Linked DNA regions of Macaca mulatta. The protein of the gene in region 1 interacts with the protein of each later gene in a biochemical or structural test. Links are inferred from orthologs where the notes say so. Each region holds a gene or a part of one and is shown on either strand. Other genes may lie near its edges. The genes, in order: ATF7IP and MBD1.

Evidence for each region.
Region 2: the proteins of ATF7IP (region 1) and MBD1 form a complex in vitro, tested with the Homo sapiens proteins (2 studies listed by BioGRID). The link is inferred for Macaca mulatta from reciprocal best matches to the Homo sapiens genes ATF7IP and MBD1.

Annotation. Positions count from the first base shown.
Region 1 is NC_133416.1:16,905,839-16,909,661, forward strand, and holds part of ATF7IP (activating transcription factor 7-interacting protein 1), read left to right. Parts: intron 1-2,340; coding exon 2,341-2,979; intron 2,980-3,823. UniProt on the Homo sapiens protein: Recruiter that couples transcriptional factors to general transcription apparatus and thereby modulates transcription regulation and chromatin formation. Can both act as an activator or a repressor depending on the context.
Region 2 is NC_133423.1:42,034,086-42,037,836, reverse strand, and holds the end of MBD1 (methyl-CpG-binding domain protein 1), read right to left. Parts: intron 3,439-3,751; coding exon of another isoform or gene 3,399-3,438; exon of another isoform or gene 1,722-3,398; coding exon 1,532-1,721; 3' UTR 767-1,531; downstream 1-766. UniProt on the Homo sapiens protein: Transcriptional repressor that binds CpG islands in promoters where the DNA is methylated at position 5 of cytosine within CpG dinucleotides. Binding is abolished by the presence of 7-mG that is produced by DNA damage by methylmethanesulfonate (MMS).

The DNA.
Region 1 (3,823 bases):
ATGAAACTAAGTGTATTTTCACTTAATAGCAGCACAAAGAGCATTATTCTCTTACATTTTTTACGTATCTCTTTAATACTTTGAGACATTAAGACAGCTAAAGATAGCTGTATACTCATATCTGTATCTGCTTTTAGTCTGTTTTAAAATGTTGATTTGGTTGACGCATATGAAGGAAATCCAGTCTTATACAAATATATAGATGGAAAAGGGCTAGCCCTTACAGATAATTGTGGATATTCTTCTTTGATACTGTCCAGTAGTAGTTTCTTTAAGGTTGGTTGTGAAGTATAATCTGAAACCACACCAAAGAACTTTTCTAACTCCTCCATTAAAATCCATTTATTGGACCTGTGTGGTGCCTTACGCCTGTAATCCCCGCACTTTGGGAGGCCCGAGGCAGGTGGATCACTTGAACTCAGGAGTTCCAGGCCGGCCAGGGCAACATAGTGAAACTTGTCTCTACAAAAAATACAAAAAGTAGCCGGACATGGTGGTGCACACCTGTGGTCCCAGCTACTTGGGAGGCTGAGGTGGAAAGATGACATGAGCCCAGGAGGTGTAAGCCGCTGTGAGCCAAGATTGCGCCAGTGTACTCCATCCTGGGCGATAGAGGCAAACCCTGTCTTTAAAAAAAAAAAAAAAAAAAAAAAAAAAAAAAAATTCCTCTATCTTGTACTTGCACATGGAGTTTTACTAATATTCATTGATCATTTGAAAACTATTCACCAAGTTATGCAAATCTTCCAAATATTGACACATTTTGTTAATATTATTTTTAAAAATTACGTTTACTGATTTTACTATCAGTTCTACTCAGAGAAGCATTTTAAGGATTTAGGGAGCTGTCATGCTTTCAGTGACAGATAAAAGTTTTTTCTAATGTTCTTAGTTTTGCTTAAGAACTCAAATGTTATTATTACTGATAAATACAGTTGGGCTTTTTTTCTTTGAAGTGACTGCCTTACCTAGTTTATTTCTAAGAAAAGATCTTCAAAATACCCACATGTGAATCATTGGTGTGTCTATAGGTCATTCTTTCAAGTAAAAATAGTCTTTCGTGGGAAAGATTGCTAGTTTAGTTTATAGCTCAATTGCACACGCATTTTTCCTTAACTATCCTACTTTGGCAAGCAGTAGTTGTCTCGTATGTACTGCCTATTCCTTCACATGGAATATTAAGAAAAGAACCCCTATTCAAAAGTTGAGATATAATAAAGTTAATAGTTTTCACTGCTGTATCTTGGGGATTCTTAAGTAAAACTGACTTTGTTTTTTACTGTAAGCATGTGATGAAGAATGCAGCGACGTTTGGTCCATTGTACTACCTTGATTTTTGTACTAAGCATCAGAAGTTTTACTCACCATTGCTTTTGCTCCATTGGTGCAAATGTCTGCTCATTTAAAAAGTCAAATAATGTCTCATTGTTATGAAAATAGTTTTGACATTGCAAACTCCCCAAAAGGGTCTCAGAAAACCCCAGGCACCCCCCTGGACCACACTTCGAGAAACTGCTGCTCTAGTGAACCTGTGATTTTTGGAAAGACTATAAATCAGTGAGAAAGAAGTTTGGTCATGTATTTTAAACCTGTTCCAATGAGAATAAACACAAGTAGTTGAAAATTGCTATAAAACTGTAGTGACCAGCATTTGTCAGCATTTGTATTTTCTCTGTTCTTCTGTATATGCTACCTAATTTCTTCTTAATTCATCTGTCAACTTCACTCAGTGCTATTTTTCATATCATACAATGTCAGTAGGGTGTCAGTAGAGGGAACCTCCCCCTAATAGGTCCTCTCCCAAGGAATTCAGTCAAACTTGATCCAAAGATACAGACATGGTTCAAATAATAAAATATAATGAGTAAGCTTACCTGTTATTCATTAATGGTCATGACTCTTTAGATTTACTATTTGAGTTTAGGTATTACTTGCGTTTTAAGGCATTTATAATGTTTTTAATGTAGTTTCAAAAATATATATTTTTACTTAACTTTTTAGTATTTTTTATTTGTGTACTAGTTAGGTACTCTAAAGTGATTATAGTAATTTTCAGAGACCATTTTGATACTCAGTAGTCTTGCATATTAATCATCCATCATGTGCTGTTTTTGTAATATACTAAACCTACATACAAAATTCTTCTAAGAATTTAATTCTAAATTAAATTTCGGAATTTGAATCTGGAAAAAATTTCATGATAAAAGACTTTGCAGTCTTTGCGATGTATTTAATCTATGCTAAGTCTAATGCAATGTATTTAATTTGTATCTGTCATATTTTCTTAGTTGATAAATTAATATAACCATTTAAACAGAGAATTCTGTTTTCTTTCTATAGTATCTTCAACCAATCTTGTCACTCCTCCAACAGTTGTCAGTAGTCAACCTAAATTGCAGACTCCAGTGACTTCGGGTTCCCTCACAGCAACGTCAGTTCTTCCTGCACCCAATACAGCTACTGTAGTTGCTACTACTCAGGTGCCTAGTGGAAATCCTCAACCTACAATCTCTTTACAACCTTTGCCAGTGATTTTGCATGTACCTGTTGCAGTATCCTCCCAGCCTCAGCTTCTACAGAGCCATCCAGGGACTTTGGTGACTAATCAACCATCTGGCAACGTTGAATTCATTTCTGTGCAAAGCCCACCTACAGTGAGTGGTCTTACCAAAAATCCAGTATCCTTGCCATCCTTGCCAAATCCCACTAAACCAAACAACGTTCCTTCTGTGCCCAGTTCTAGTATTCAAAGGAACCCTACTGCCAGTGCTGCACCATTGGGAACAACACTTGCGGTGCAGGCTGTTCCAACGGCACACTCTATTGTACAAGCCACAAGGACTTCTTTGCCCACAGTGGGCCCATCAGGACTCTATAGTCCATCAAATAATCGAGGTCCTATACAGATGAAAATTCCAATTTCTGCATTTAGTACTTCGTCTCCTGCAGAACAGAACAGCAATACCACCCCAAGAATTGGTAAGTCACCATGTAGGTTTAATGCTAGAAATGCAAGCATGTTAATAGCCTTGTAACGATTGAACTTTTTTTTTCTAAGTGGCTAGCATTATTGGAAGGACAAAATAAATAGAATTTTCTTGATTATTTTTAGTAATTTTTTAGATACCTGAGAAGAAATGATGTTGCTAAAATGGGGCTTGAGAGGGGGTTTATTTTGAATTAGAAGTTAGTATCTGTGTTTTATCTTTTAGTAATTTTCCTAAGTTTGGTGAATTTTGAATTTATGGCTTTGTGGCAAGCATTATGAGTTACTTTTATGATACATTTGCCAGCAATGTCTGTTTAAAACATTTTAAAGTATCAAATTTACATAATATATGCTCTTAAGAAAAAAAGGCACGTTTATGTTCCTTACACATTTGGAAAATCCTTTGTGCTCTCATTCATAGCTTCCAAATTTGAACAACTTAAAAATAGATTTTCTTTCACATTTACTATAAAATGTTTGAGTCCTTCTTGTTTTATCCTTTCTGTTTTCCCATATGACATATTATATGATTGTTTGTATTTTACTTAGAAATACTGCAAAAAGGAGAACTTGACTATACCTGTTTAAAATCTGCCAAACTCTGTGTCTTCCTGGCTCCTGGAAAGAGTTTGTGTTGTATGCATTCTTGAGCTTGCTTATTCTTCATTTCTGACTTCACATGTATCCGCACTACTTTTGGAAAGGCAGGGAAGGGTAGGCATCATGTGTATAGTAAAATTGCTAGTGTTTTTCTTATTGATGTTGTAAGTGACCATGTAATGTAGGAAACAAATTCTAAAGTACAAAATTACTTTTATAAGTGAGATGTACAAG
Region 2 (3,751 bases), on another chromosome or scaffold:
AAATTAGGTGGTCGTCTCGGTTTCCTGGAGTGTCCAGAGGGGCGGTTCTTTGATCTTCGAGTTCAACGGGCCCCGGGACCGCCCATTGGTCTGGGAGGAACCTCCCCCACCACACCTCCGGGAAGGCGGCAACGAAAACGCGTTGGGCCCGGAGCAGGGCTTGGGAAAATCGGCGGCGATTCGGGGCCGCCCGCTGGGGATTCCCAAGGTTGTGCAGCCCAAAGGGCCTGGTCACAATTTCTGAGGCGATGGGGTAAACCGACCCTTGGCGACACCCGGCTGCACTCGAACGTCCTAGGTCGTCGAGCCCCGCCCTCACCCTGGACGTGCTCCGAAATTTAACCCTGGGTCGGTTTTGCCTGTTTTACCGCTATTTGAAGAGGGGCACTCAGCTTCCCTCTGGCCCTAGCCCAGGTACTGGGGTTTGCGCCGGACGGATGCCACGCCCCAGGGCGGCCAGGCCACTGGTGATGGGTGACGGGCGGTGCCTCCAGGGTCCCAGTGGTTCCCCGACCGGGAACTACGGGCTTTCTCGCCTCGGCGCCCCCTGGCGGGCCCACCAGCAGGTTGACGGTGTCCGGCCAGTGCTGAGCACCGAGAGCCTCAGCCTTCAGTGAACCCCCCCCCCCGCCCCGGCGGCCTAGGGAAGTGAATCTCAGGGTCCTTGGAAAGAAGTGACCTTGATCTTCCCACCCACTATCCCAGTTTCTCAGAGGCAGTCAACACTGTTCCCACCAAACCACTCCCAAAAGAAACACTGAGCATGTAAGTGGGACAATAAAAATTTAAAAATAATTTTAAAATAGAACAGCTTAGAGATAGAAACTAAATTATTTCCAATTCCTACTGTGCCCCAAACAAGGTTCACAAAAGGGCTGTCCTCCCAATAATTTTCTGAATTCTATATATTCAGCATTAAATTCCATGATAAAGTTGGAAATCCATTCACCATTTGTAATACATATTGATGCATTTAATAAAATTGCATGAGCCGTATCTTTTGCATTTCTGTATCCTAGTATTAAGTATAGTGCCTACCACAGGCCTGGTTCTCAATACTTGAATGACACAAAAATAGCCAGGACCAGCAAGTTTTTTCTGGGTGGGCTTCATAGAATCTCTGCACTTGCTGGAATCACCATGAAATTCATGGTCTTCAGCTTTGCATTTTCAGCAACATGGTTATATTGAGTTATCCTCAGGTGAGTAGTGAGACCCTTGGGAGCGGATTCATGGTAGGGCGGCTTTGTAATGTGTCACCTTGGTGAGGCTGTTTCCCAGAACTCTCTTCCAGTAAGATGGGCCACAAGAGACATTTTGCTTGATAACTGGAGGGCAGAAGTGAAGCAGCAGCATATTGTTTTTACACTTGGAAGGCTGGTGCTGGGGCACCAGGCGCTGTTGCAGTTCACACATTGTCATGTATCTGCTGGATCACCTCGTTGGTGTGGGCAGCAGCCAGGCCTGCAGCTGCTCCACCTTCCCCAGGATCATCTCTTCAGCTTCTCTAATTCCTGGGCCAGATGCATATTTAACTCTGTGAGGAAGGGCACCAGCTTCTTCTGCAGGACACCCACATCATCGAAGCTGGAGGTGGTGAGAGACTGACATGGGTTCCAGGCCATCCTCGTGGGTTCCAGCTCGTGCTCGTGGGCTCCACTGTGTCCTCGGTCTCCCACACTTTACATCCATCTTCCCTTCCCGAGTGCCTGCCCTGCAGACTTCAAGCTCCAGCATTAGATGCAAAGATAACAGCCTTACAGAGACTGTTTAACCAGCTCCCACAATGGCATGCAGTCAGATCTCTATAATAAATCCCTTAAAGTACATATATACATAATCTTTATCTTAGTGGTTCTGCTCTTCTGATTGTACCCTAACATACATGGTAGGCAGAAGCTTAACTCATGAGTCTAAATGTCAATCAAATAAATTTCATATAGTTCATTGTCAAAATTACCAGAATACTGGGGTTGGGTGGTTGGTTCCTGGGGGAAACAAAGCAGTATCAGTCTATCCAGTCTTGACTAGGGCTGAACTAGTTAGGGTGGAATAAAGGAAGGGGTGGCGAAGGTGGCAGAGGCTGGACTGTATGATAGAACTGGGAAATGGCTCATCCATGTCTGAATTACTTAAAGCTGCAGGGCTGGGACTAGGGTAAGGCAAGGGAGGCACGTAGGATACAAAGTTTAAGGAGGCACTCACTCAGTCCTGGCCCTGTAAAGCTGGCTAACAAATTACAGGTCTAATCTTTTTGGCACTTTATGAATGAAGAATTGGAAAGAGTGAGGTAGGGCTGAGCCAAGACTGGCCCTTGGGCAGGACTCGAAGCAGGAATTCAGCCTCCTAGAAGACATTTGGGCTGAGGGCAGGAGCCAAGCACAAAGGTCATCAGAGGGCAGGAGATGCACGTTGTCAGGAAAGATGAGCCAGGCTGGCAGCTTTAGTTACAAAGACTGCTCTAGCTGAAGAGGGGGAGTCAGGGTAACAAGCAAAATGGACAGCAGCCAGTGGGGAGATATATCCTGTAGGGTTTGAGGAATCCTATGCAGCACCTGGGGTCTGCAGGAAACCCAGTTTCTGTATGAACAGATGTTCTGACAAGGTGACCCCATCTACATCGAGTCTTGGCACTTTCTAAACCATGCTAGAGACAGGAATGTAAGGGATTTATTATAGTACTTATAGTAATCTGTGTTTTGAAGGTCACCAAAAACTCCTATTAGTGCATACAGGATTACAGGTTACAGTTTAGTGGCTTAAAGAACAAGGGCTTTAAAAGCTGGGTTTCATTCTAGGCTCTACTAACACCAGCTGTTCGACATTGGACAAATTAATGAGTCTGTTTTCCCATTCACAAAAATGGGCAAAATCAATGTCTTCCCAAAAAGATTATTCTAAGGATTAAATAAACTGGGTCCACAGAGGAACACACCAAATAGCAGTTCCTTTCCTTATTTATTCAATTACATTTTCAATTGCTGTCTCCCTGAGGAAGTATGTAGAGACACTGCCAGGTCTCATCCAGAAGCCACTTACAATTATTCATGAACATGGCTTGTTTAGGTTGTTTTGTGGTGGTTTTAATTATATTACCTTTCCCCATCCCAGCTCCCCCACCCTTAAAATCCAACTTCTTATACTCAGGCTCTTGGGGAGGAGAAGATGCACCAACTTTCTACTCTTTCTCTTCCTTTCCCGCTTACTTCTTCTAGAAGCTCAAAGTACTGTTAGGCCTGCTCCTCTGGTTTCGTGGTAGGTTTTTCCTCCTAGGGTTGATTCACACACAAGCCCTGGCAACCAATCTAGGGTCCAGCCCCTAGTAGATCAGTGTTGTCTCTCATAAAGCCAGTCTGCAAATATCACCTTGAATCCTACAGTCTGTAGAAGCCTCCAGTCTACTGCTTTCTAGCTCCAGGTTTTTTAAGGTCTTTGGACCTAGGGAAGAGGGAGCAGGTCTGTATGTTGAATGAGGTTTGCTATATGCGAAATGGAGCATTACAAAACCATTTCCTAGTATTCTGTGTCCTCCATCCACTTCCCCTTAATTATACCTTTATCTTTTTTTATATCTTCTAAAAACTACCATTACAGACAGCTTGTCCATAGTCAGATAATAAGCTCCCTGAAGGTAGGTATCTTGTGTCTCCTGACACAGGATATAAGCTTTGCAGGGCTCATTGTCCTCAATGCTGTGCACCCAGCAGGAACTCAATCAGGACTTCTGTAATTGGCCAAGCATAGATGAAAG